Linked DNA regions of Xenopus tropicalis. The main gene of each other region encodes a partner of the protein of the gene in region 2 in a complex. Links are inferred from orthologs where the notes say so. Each region holds a gene or a part of one and is shown on either strand. Other genes may lie near its edges.

What was found. The genes of interacting proteins can lie anywhere in the genome.
Region 1: zbtb8os (region 2) and fam98b share a complex: the UniProt entries of both Homo sapiens proteins name them as parts of the tRNA-splicing ligase complex. The link is inferred for Xenopus tropicalis from reciprocal best matches to the Homo sapiens genes ZBTB8OS and FAM98B.

Annotation. Positions count from the first base shown.
Region 1 is NC_030684.2:110,765,551-110,773,517, forward strand, and holds the end of fam98b (protein FAM98B), read right to left. Parts: intron 6,304-7,967; coding exon 6,131-6,303; intron 6,032-6,130; coding exon 5,951-6,031; intron 4,262-5,950; coding exon 4,145-4,261; intron 3,424-4,144; coding exon 3,256-3,423; intron 2,174-3,255; coding exon 1,883-2,173; 3' UTR 658-1,882; downstream 1-657. Other genes in the region: decreased expression in renal and prostate cancer protein-like, read left to right, coding at 1-42, 169-221. UniProt on the Homo sapiens protein: Positively stimulates PRMT1-induced protein arginine dimethylated arginine methylation.
Region 2 is NC_030678.2:90,313,902-90,318,111, reverse strand, and holds the start of zbtb8os (protein archease), read right to left. Parts: upstream 2,801-4,210; 5' UTR 2,729-2,800; coding exon 2,647-2,728; intron 662-2,646; coding exon 637-661; intron 1-636. Other genes in the region: histone-binding protein RBBP4, read left to right, coding at 3,378-3,393, 3,570-3,717. UniProt on the Homo sapiens protein: Component of the tRNA-splicing ligase complex required to facilitate the enzymatic turnover of catalytic subunit RTCB. Together with DDX1, acts by facilitating the guanylylation of RTCB, a key intermediate step in tRNA ligation.

The DNA of each region.
Region 1 (7,967 bases), on a different chromosome or scaffold from region 2:
GTCAGCCCAATCCTGCCCGCTACCCACAAATGGCGTGCCGAGGTCAACGCAATCCTGCCCGCTACCCACAAATGGCATGCCGAGGTCAGCCCAATCCTGCCCACTACCCACAAATGGCGTGCCGAGGTCAGCCCAATCCTGCCCACTACCCACAAATGGTGTGCCGAGGACAGGCTGATCCCTGGGTCCCTTGGGTATCAGCCCAACCTGCACATCACTAGCTCAGAGGATCTCTCTGAGTAAGTTTATACAAATTCATTTTTGGTGTTTGGGTCCCCTTAATGGTACTTTGATTCTGGAGCAACTATACACTTTGCCATAAAGCAAACAAGAAAGGAAACTTGCCTGAGTGCCAGGAAATGAATTCCTCCAGGCTTGTGCAATATCACTTGCAGTACGAGGGGTTTGTCCCTACTGTACATAACATTACATACGGACACCATTCTGACAGCAGTGTCCCTTTTTTACAGCAGCACAGCTTCATTTTAACAATCAATTTCCGCAGTCACTAATACAGGTATGGGATCTATTGGCCAGAATGCTTGGCACCTGAGCTTTTCTAGATAAGGGATCTTTCTGTAATTTAGATCATCATACCTTAAGTCTAAAATCAATTAAATAATAAATAAACCCAATAGGACTGTTTTATCACCAATATGAATGTATGCAGCTTAGTTACCATCAGGTACAAGCTACTGTTTTATTATTACAGAGAAAAAGGAAATTTTTCAAAAATAAGAATTATTTAATTAAAATGGAGTCTATGGGAGATGGCCTTCCTGTAATTCAGAGCTTCCTGGATAATGGGCCTCATACCTGTATTATAAAGTTAAAATGTAGAACAGTAGGAGTCACGTACATGATTGTGACCATATAAAATCAGAAGAATACAGAAGCCTTTGGTACAGGTCACAGAACTCTGAGGCCACTTTTATATTGCGATGCAGAATAGGAGCCCAGGCTACCGACCCAGGGTCTGAGATAAGTCATTCTAATCAAGGGGTGGAGGATATCTAACAAACCAGCCCCCCTCACCAAGTGAATAACCATTCCCCTTGTGCCTTGTACATGGTATTATGCTCTTAAAATATAAATGGTATTGTTTGGTGTTACTTGTTTAGTCCTGTTATGGCCTCATATTCCTACAGTGGGTTTCAGATATGGTCTTGGAACAACATGGCCTGAATGGTGTGTTATAATAAAAGAAATGATCTCTGACATAAAGGTATTACTGAACTGCGTTGTTAAAGAGCAACCAAAAGCAAATCATTTGATGCTACTTCTCCTTGACTGGCCAGAAATGGCTATTAACTACTTTAGTTTACTAAGAGCATTATAGATTGTTTGTAGGCACATGATCCTTGAATATAATGTCCCTTAAAATCGATATAATAAATACATTATTGCCTTTATACAGGGACAGCTATTGTTTTTGTGCTTTTTTGTGAATTTGTGGCTGTGGTGGTGCAAGCATTAATTTGGGCAGTTAGAATAAAGGGAATTACTTGTGTACGTAATGTAGACTCAATGCCAGGAAGTTACAGATGTTGGTGATGGGTAAAAAGCCTCCACGCCACAAGATGAATGCACTGAGGGATAAGGAAAGACAGGAGAATGAGACATAGGAACATCCTGTAACAAACCAGAGTATGGAGACACTGGCGGAACAGTCTGTGGGATAAAATCTACAATAAGGATTATATCAGCAATATCCTTTCATTTTTACAGCGTAAAAAACCTAAGTAAAAAGGGTTGGGCTGAACTACCCTGTCTCACACATATAAAATATAGGAGAGATCCCAAAGAGCCTTCACAGCACAAAACGGAGTCCCTGCATAAGTGACAAGTCCCTCTCCTCCTGCAGTATATCCACGAGACTTCCTTAATACCACCTTTGGCCACCACGTCCACCATAACTGTCACTATAGCTGCCACGGTTGGAATATCCTCCTTTGCTGTGGTATCCTCCTCCACCACCTTTCCCGAAATCTCTTCCTCCTGCATTATATCCACCTCCTCCTCTTCCAAATCCACCTCCTCCTCTCCCGCCTCCTCCTCGCCATCCTCCTCTTCCTCCATCATTTTGTCTTTTTTGCCATGGGGGCATCTCAGGAGGTGGGGGGTCAATTTCAGAAGGTCTCCCTCCTCTGTCTGGCACTCTGCCCATCAGGACCTGTATAAAGGGTAACAAATTTAGAGTATTGGAACATACAGGTACAATGGGACAGCCTGGTTCACTTATCGGTCTTGTACTCTACACAAAATAAGGAGAGTAGTAGTCAGCATCAAGCCTTGTGATTAGTTAGAAGTAGTGCAGGTTCCCCAATGGCCACTTTCCATCGGCATATCCTGGTACAGAAGAACAGGAACAGCACCTCTTGTCTTTGTAGATTTGTACATTTGTACATTTCAGGTCACATAAGACCTTTTATCAAGCTGCTTGATAAAAGGTCTTATGTGACCTGAAACGTTGCTGCTGTTGTTGTTTGCCCCAAAAAACTTTGCAATAAAGGCATTTTAATCTACAAAGACAAGAGGTGCTGTTCCTGTTCTTCTGCACAAAATAAGGAACATGACCAAATGGAACTTTAGTAATATCCGCAGCAGCCAACAGAATGATACCATAAAACTGAGCCAGCACAGGAATTCACCTGCAATAAACACACAGCAATAAAACAAGCGTTTGGCTTCAAAGAAAATATTTCTGTATGGAGCACATATAAGTAGAATAGTAGCTCAAATTAATACATTGCATTCTTTGGTGTTACTTGTCCTTTAGTCATGCATGACTAAACTGCTTTTTAAAGTGAGTAATTTCAACACACTTCCTTGCAAAAGCAGCTAATTTATCTCTATAGATATTACTCATTATAATGCACCCACTAGAAGCTATATTATTTTTTAAATATAAGGTGAGATAGACTCCTCATAGAATCTGAGACCCTAAGAGTCCTTCTCTTATGTGCAATAGGCCTAAATAAGAACTCCCTAAATCTAGTGAAGCAATAACCGGGTATACTTTAATGTTACCTTCCAGTAATTATAGTATAATGCATGGGAATACACAATTCTGCAGAAGTAAAAGAACTACCATCCATAGACCCACTGAAACAGAAAACAAAAAAAGACTAACTGGTCAAGAGAAGTGGTGAACTGCTGCGTGGCTTCCAAACCAATATTATTATACTTTAATTTCATGGTGAATTACCCCTATAATCTGACTGGACCTTTCCACGATGGGAATGGACCATTTACCTTGTTTATTGCACATGTTGTCTTCTCGCGGATCTTTCCGCTGCTTGTGCGGATGATTCTGGAGAGATCCTTGCGGGCAGCCATAACATGTGCTAGTGAGACTGTGGATTTTGCAGATAGGGAGTAGCGAAGTGGCTGATACACACGGGCAATTTCATCTGTTTTGGACTTTGGGAAAGAGAATGAAGTTAGTCTCCAAAAAGAATTCGTACATTTGGCTATGTAAAATAACATGGAACGATTAGTGCCAGAGGAGGACAGAATACTACCATAATAGTTGTATCTATTCCACAGCCGCACCACTTTTGCCCAAGGCCAGAAAAGGCACCTGGCTAGGGCACAACGCTGCACTGGGAGGGTAGGTAATTGTTCTGCCTAACCCTAGTCAGGACTCTCTCGCCCCTGCCACCTCTTGTCCCTGTGTGCCCCCCCAAACCCATAATGTTAGCACTCCTGTGTGCGTAGGGGGGGCGAGGTGACCAGCCTCTGCCCAAGCCCACCTCAAAGGTCTTTCACTGAAATGAATGGCACAATGGTTAACACTGCTGCCTTGCTGTGCTGGGGTCCTAGGCTTGATTCAAGCCTATCTGCAAGTAGTAGGATGGGTATGTATGAGTCTTTGTGGGTTTCCTCTGGGTACTCCCAAAACCATACAGGCACGTTAATCTGCTACTAGTAAAATTAACCCTAATGCGTGCGAGTGTGATAGGGCCCTCAGAATGTAAGCTCCACTTGAGAATAAATACATTTATATATATTAAAATTAATATTATTAATAAAAATCTGTATTACATTTCTTTTTACAAGCCAAATGATCATTTTTGAAAAGTGCTGCCACCAACAGGCCTTTAGCTGTATGGCACATTCACATTACAAAGGCACTAATTACCTTGGCTCTGTCTGACCAACCAAATGACTGCACAGTTACATCCAGACGTTTTATTAACAACCTACGCCGACACTCATACTCCTTACAGAGAGCTGCATTGATTTTTTCCAGGCGCTCCTGTAAGGACAAGAACATGAAATTCAATTAAATATGCACCACTGAGCAAAAGCTGTATTACTTTTAGCTTTCATACAGAGCAGTCCATAACCAAGATTTAAAGGGGAACTGGGCCTGAAAACAAAAGTATAGTTTTCATATATCACACAGAGTACTCACACAGACTTTTTTTCAGCTTTCTTTTAATTCCTATTTACCATTTTTAGAATTGTTAAAAAAAAGAATTATTTGTTTGTTTGTTTTCGTCATCTCATGTTTCCAACTAGCAGCTTGGTAAGCCACATCCCTGAATTTCTAAACTGTTACATTTCATACATATAGTTTATACCTTTCTTAGCAGCAGATGCTTCAGTCCCTTCTGAAAACACTCCTTTTGTAAAAGTTTCTATCAGGGCAACTGAATACATTAGTTGCTGCCTGACAGGTCTCTGATGCTGCCGAGAAATTTATCACTAAATGTATCAAATGATAGAAAAGGGGATTCCCAAAATTCCAATTTTTAAAAAAAGGTATGATGAATGGGTGTTTATTCAATACAGCACTCTCTGGGTACTGCTTTCGAATGAATTCCTATGGCATTAACACTTGGTGACCCCACACACACAGCCTAGACCCCCAAAGTCTGGACACCCCAAGTTTAGAAAGTTGGCAACCTAACTTACAGAGTTCATTGGAGAAGAAGGAAAAACTAAACCAATTTTTAAAAAATACAAGAAATAGAAACTGAATAAAAAGTTATTATTTCTGCTGTATTATGTGAAAGTCTTGTCATTTTTCAGGCTTTTTTTCTGTCAGGAGCATGTGCAGTTAAAAATGTATCAGTCCTGACCGGTAATCGCCAGTAAAGGATATCAGTCTTTGTGTGATGCCCCCGTGCGCTAGCCTGCATTTTATTTATACTTGCATTTTATGCCAGAGGGGCTGCTGTAAGATGCCATAGACAGTCACTATTTATTGGGCTGCTGAGGGGCTGTTTGGGCCTCTGTGTACTTGAAATGCCAGGGTCTATTTTGAATCCCAGTCTGGAGCTGTGGGACAGTATTGGGCGTCTGCTGTGTTATAGTTCAGGAAGTCTCTGGAGGAAGCCTAACACTTTCATTCTCCTTTAACACTCACAACAAACCTTCTCAGTTGCTTGTAGTTCACAGCCAACCCAATGTGCCAAATGGTCCTTTAGACCAGCAGTGTCTTTTGATTGATTTTGTGAGCAGACAATGCCAAAGAGTGTACTAAGACTTCCTTAATGATTTAATCTATTGTTATTGTATATTATATAGCAAATAATGTACCCCCCTATTGTAAAATACTATAAAATATTTAAAGTCACTGAGGAGTTTCATGACCATATTAAGGTATGAGGCCTAAGGCTGAATGCTTTTATACAGGTCATGAAACTCTGAAGTGACTTCTAATATCTTCATATTTTAAAACATGGGGTATATTATTTATTATAATATACAAGTTTCAGTGAGAAATTACATCACTAACCACCATTTATAAGGATATAATATACAGGATATTCATGGCTCTTCTGTATTATATTACAGTAAAATTCATTTTCATCTATGGTGTATTGCCTATGCAATCTGAATTGCCTGACAATTAAACCCTGACAACAAAGTGCAAAACATTTGTCCCACTATTTGCTAAACCTTTTTACAAAAATGGCATCGTAAAGGGTTGCCTTACCAGCTGTTCCACGTTCAGCTCTGCACTAAGCAGTTTTCCCTTTAGTTCACTGTGATTCCCTTCAGAAAGCACATCTGTAATCTGCAAGAATATGGATAGACTGGTGTAAGGCCTCAGCATTCAATAGATAAGTAAAAGCAGCCAAACAAACTATATGTAGAAGTGAAGCTATCCCTATACCTTTGCTTCCACAGTTTTTAACATGGCCGAGACATCAGATGAAGGCTCTTCAGGTAAACGGAGAGCGCTGCAGATGGTTTTCACTTCTTTGTAGGCAGCATCAAGTGGATCCACCTCGCTCTTTTTCTTTTTCTTTATGATCTGCAAGGCCATAAGCTCTGTTGCTAGGAACACTGAGAAAAAAAAAAAACCATAGTTGCACCATTAAAAGATGAAGCATTACCTCAGGATATCCTATTGCAGTGGACAGAGGACTTAAAATAGTGTTAAGCCACTGGACCAGAGTACAGTATACAGTAAAGGCACTACTAAAGCATCGTAGGACACACTTAATAAAGAATCCAGGTTTCAGCTCAAGATGTAACCAAACAGACTCAAAAGAATTATCTGACTTTAACTTTAGTGTATGACTTCTGAATGATGGTTCAATAAAGGAAAAAAGCAGGTAGCCTCTAACATAAAGAAAAACAATTAAAGTATAGAAATAAGTGTAGCGCCATCTGGTGTACATAAGAAGCACCATTATGCCGCATTCTGCAATTATAGATGCCAATACTTTTAAAAGGCACTGAATAAAAAAAAAAAAAAAAAGTTCAGGAAACAAGAGAAGAAAAAATTGAAGTGTAGGTGCCCAGCTTTAAACTATAATTGGCTAAGAGCACCCCACATAAAAGGCGAGGTAACTTCAACTGTACTGTAAAAATATCATTGCACCCAGCCATATTACATTTATATCTGGGAGGATGTTATGATGCATTAAAGTCCCATTAGTGGAATGACAGGAAGAGCGAGAAACACAAAAAGGGGACAAGCATGTTTTCTTAAAAGAAAAATGGACTAGTATAGACATACATAGTATATGTGAACTATACCGAATTAGGGGAGGAAAGAGGGGTGAAATTGTATTCGATAAGTGGTGGATGAATGATTGGGGAAATGCTTTGGCAATAAATTTAAGTAATTTCTCCTAGGAAATGATGGGAATATTGTTTGTGAATATACAGGGTTTCAGAAAAGGTGTGGGGAAGGTATATGAAAAGGCAGCCATTAAAAAGAGGAGGGTGTAAAAAGTGAGTGAAAAGAGAAAAAACAGAAACTGAGAATTTTGCAGACTGTTGTGTAAATGTATTTAACAGGAATTGTGGTCCTGAGGGTCATTTATCAACACTGGGCAAATTTGCCCATGGGCATTAAGTCATGGCAACCAATCAAATTGTTGAATTCATTGTTCCACCCCCAACTGGTTGCTGTGGGTTACTGGTCACATGCAAACTTGGCCAGTGTTGATAAATGAACCCCAAGTTTGTCTACTGAAGAAAAAAGGATTGTGGGAGGAACTGTTGGGGAGAAGGGCATAGGGAGGCTGTGATTTCATAAAGATGATTGTGAAGGAGGGCAGTAGAATGAGAGGGGAGGGTGCAGAAGCCAGGGTTGATTAACAGCATGTACAGAGGAGGAAGAAGGGACAGTAAAACCAGTAGACAGTGATGCAGTGTTGTAGAAGGAACAATAAATACGATAACAAAATTGCAGAGAGGACAGCATGTAGATGGGACAGAGGAGAAAGTAAAGGCAGGGCAGATGGAGGCGGCAGATGAAGGAATATTAAAGTTACCCAGGTTTTTGACTCCCTCCCCCTGGCCTCCTGTCAATATAGGTGATTCCCCTTGTTTTTTTTAGCTTCTCCAGCTAAATTCAGAGTAAGCAGTTGCAGAATTCAGTGATATCAGAGGAGTACACGCACAGTGAACATTCAGGGGCTGCAGACATGTTTGCGCGCATTTGCAGCGATGTTATTAGAATGTGGAAAAATGTTGCCCCTGAAAATATGTAGCCC
Region 2 (4,210 bases):
GTATCCAATTATGTATCAGAGGAAAAATGGCCACCTGGTGAAAGCTGCTATTTGCTTTAGGAAAATGTAATGGTTCTGGCAAGCGGAGGGGATATATGCAGTACACATGATGCCATTTGGGTGGGGGAGATGTGCCCAACTGATATACATTGTAGGTAAATGTAGGCTTTACATGTCCTTTAAGGATATTCAGTTTCACTTTTTAATAAACATTCTTTGTTTGCATAAGACCGGCTTCAAACAGTGTGGCTCCTTTGAACTACTGGATTTTTGCTTGATATGGTTCTGCACCGGGGCACGGCTCCGACGCCTATGCATAGTACAAGTCAAATGGGATATATCCTGAATGAAAGTATATATCCCCGTTTTGGGTTTTCACCCCTTTAAGAGCCATCATGGGGTTATCCTGCAGGGAGGTGTGGGCTGGACATCCATGGGTGTTTTAAGGAAATGAGGAGCTGGTAAAAGTGGCTAAAAGCAGGAGCTGTTTTGTTAAAATCCCTGAAAAACCAGCATATTAAATCTCCCTTCAAACAGGAAGTTGAATTTGATGGACATGTCTGGAGTGACCTGCTTCTGTGGTGCAACGCCACTGTGCTCCCCCCAAAACTTCACAATATTATATAAAATACTTACTGAACATCTGCAGTGTGGTCAAGATCTGGAAGAGAACATTGCATAAATTAGCTTTTCATTAATAAAATAGGTGCTTAATTATGAATTTTCTTTGTTTAGGATTTACATAATTTACACCAGGAATTAAAGGGCAATATAACGGGATAATAAATAGGGTTTACATTAACTTTTTTCCTTTTATTGTTAAGCAGCACATTTGCTTAAAGAATAAGTAAACCTTTTTTTATCAGTAAAATTACTCTAAACAGCCTCCAGATTACCTACCTTTGTCCCAGCATTCTCTCTGACCTGGTTCCTCAGTTAGAAGTTAATAATTTTTCTTTGCTTCCTTGTGCAGAGTGAAGCCCCGCCCCCACTTCCTGTTCAGGTTTCAGCAAAAAAAAAAAAAAAACCTGCTAATGCACAGACTGCCTCCAGGCATGCCCGGATTTGTGGAATGGCCACAAAGGCCCGGGCCTAGGGCAGCACAAGTTTAGGGGCGGCATGCCGCCCCGCCGCAACAGAATTTTTAAATTTGGCTCCCATACGGAGCAGTCGGGACCTTTCCCCACTGCTCCGTATGGGAGTTTAAATGTGCGATTGCGCATTGATCGCGCATGCGCACTCAGGGGGAGAGGGCGCCGCGCGATTGCGCATGCGCACTCGGGGGGGGGGCGGAGGCGGCCTCGGGGCGTCGCAAAGTTAAATCCGGCCCTGTCTCCAGGTCGACTACAGGTAGTCGAATTAAAGACAGAACTGAACTGGAAGTGGGGACGGGGCTTCATTCTGCACGAGGAAGCAAAAAAAAAAAAATGATCTATGAATTCTAACTGAGGAACCAGATCAGAGAGAATGCTGGGACAAAGGTAGGTAATTCTGGAGGCTGTTTAGAGTAATTTTACAGATAGAAAAAAAAAGAGGTTACTTATTCTTTAAGAAGAATATTAGCTCCCTATCCCTGTTAACACAGTGTTTTTAGTCTGTATTAGTCCAGCCCCATTTTGAGTTATTTGTATATATAACTGCTATTAAAAGCAGTGTTTGCCTGTCCAGCAGATTTTACAGACCTGACTTGCTGGAGGAGCCTGACACTTGCAACATTGTTTAAAAAGTAACAACCAGGAGATCAGCAAATGCTGCTTTCTATAGCAATTACAGTTACAAAAAACTTTTAAAGCACTAATCATTTTTAATAAATAGATATTGGAAAGTTACTTAGAATTATGTTTTCTTTTATAAGGCAAAACATTATTTTTGGGGTTGACATGTCCTTTAAGATACTTACCTCAACATGGCTTAGATATTAACAAGTGCAGCTATTTTTTTATTATTACAGAAACAAAAAAAAGCAAACCACTCAATCAGTATTTTTTAAAAATTTGCATTCTTGTATTAAAGAGCCTTCTGGATAACTAATTTCTGTATAGCAGATTCCATATCTAATTACGAGTGGGCGATATCGGGCTAATTTGATCGTTTGGCCCAGGGGCCAAGCGATCAAATTAGAGCTATGGGTATAGGCGCAGTCGTTGTTAGTGCCCATGCATGGGTTGATAAGCTGCCAAAGCTTTACTCATCAGGCAGAATATAGATAGAGATAGGGTTGCCACCTGTGTGACTTTGAACCGGACAGAATTCCAGCCAATTGCATAAGTTATACAATAACCCTGCCCCAGGCTCAAAACCCCACAGACATCATTGTGCCCACCTCTGATGTAATTGTGCCGACCCCCAATGCCAGCTGCCCAATCTCCTTTGTTCGGGCTTAACCCCCACCTAGGGTGGCAAACCTACATGTGTTGCCCATTTAAGCCACCAATATGTGGTAACATGACAACGGTGTACGACAGATAGAAACTGGTAATAAAAGTAAAGTTATCCCAATATCCATGTTCACTTAATGTTCCGACAAATATCAGTCAAGCGCTCCTGAACTTAAAGTTAGGAAACTTCAGTGGCGAGATACACGACTACAAACGGCTCATTCAAACTCCACTAGCAGTTGCATTAGCACTGTAATATAACTCTTACATTCGTAGTTCTTGTTTACGGGTGGGTACTTTGCCTTGACAGCAACCTGCTCTTCACTTATTGTATAATAGCGTTCGTCCATCTTCTCAGGTGCGCAGCCTCAAGCCTATTAGCCTAAGCGTCTTCCGGGAGACTGGGTTCCACCAGCCTGTCACGTGTTCCCGGCTGAAGCAATTGTAGAAGGGTCCATTTTGTTTCACTTCCGTAACTAGAGATGGCAGTGTGGTGCCCGTGTGAAGGTGCTATCAGGGCAAGTTGGACACTCCTTTTTCTTTCGGTAGCTTATGGCAGAAATCATAACATTAAATCGTTGGGACAGTATGTGCTCGTTAATACCAACACAAGGAAACCTTCCTTGATCACATGACGCCTACAGCATCACTGCCTTACCGGCTGTTACTTCACTTCCGTGAATACGGTCCCTACCGACTGGCACCACGTGACGTCCCATGCACTCTTGACTGGCGCGCACTTGGTAGACACCCATTGATGACGTAAAGTGTCTTGATTGGTGATCTATGCCGTTTCTGCTACGGTTCCTATTGGGTCTTGTTGGCGCGAAGGTGTGCGGCTCCGAGACACGGGGGAGGCGGGAAACAATAGCGGGAGGAACAGGCCCGGGCACTGAGGGGAGGAGTCAGGGGAAAAACCGGGGAAACGTGAGCTAAGTTGAGGACTCTAAGAGCAAGTTGAGTCTCGCAAGCGGTAAAGTCTCTGCTCCTGGATTTACTATGGCTGATAAAGAGGGTAAGTATGAGCCGAGAGTAAGGGACATCCTTTTGGTACTAGTGATTGAGGTACGCGGGAATCTTGAGGGCATTGAGATGTGGGTCCTTTACTTCGCGTCTACCCGGTATACTTGTGAGAGGCAAATGCCACCTTTCTTAAAGTGCATTCTGACTCGAGTGTTTTTATGTGCGCAGCTGCGTTTGATGATGCGGTGGAGGAACGAGTTATAAACGAAGAGTATAAGATATGGAAAAAGAACACCCCTTTCCTGTATGATCTGGTGATGACCCATGCCTTGGAATGGCCTAGCCTGACTGCCCAGTGGCTCCCAGATGTCACAAGGTGATTCCCATAGTAACACTTCTTTTTTTAACTTATTACTAAATCTTATACTGTATGGAAAATATAGCTTTAACTATCTGCAGTTATGGGGACTGGAAAGCTGTACTCATTTCGGGTTTCTTAGTGCTGTGGAACATTAGTGTGGATCTTGCATTTATTTTCAATTGTAAAAAAAAGTTGTCTCTGTGTAGATAACTGATAATAACCAGTGCCAGTGTTTGGAATTTCAGCCCCAGCAGTAGATGCTGAATAGTTTAGTCCAACTTCTGCTTCACAGCTTTTAGAGTTCATTTCAAAGTCTGTATGTTTCAATTAATTAAAAGAAAAATGGAGAAATCAGCTATTTTCAAACTGGTACTAGAATATATTGCCAGGATAACAAAACAGCTGAGGGACTGAATTGTAGACATTTCTGTATATGGAAGGTTTATCAATGGTGGTATAACCTAAAAATGAAAACTGGCGGCACAGGCTTTTTCGCTGTAGCCTTCAT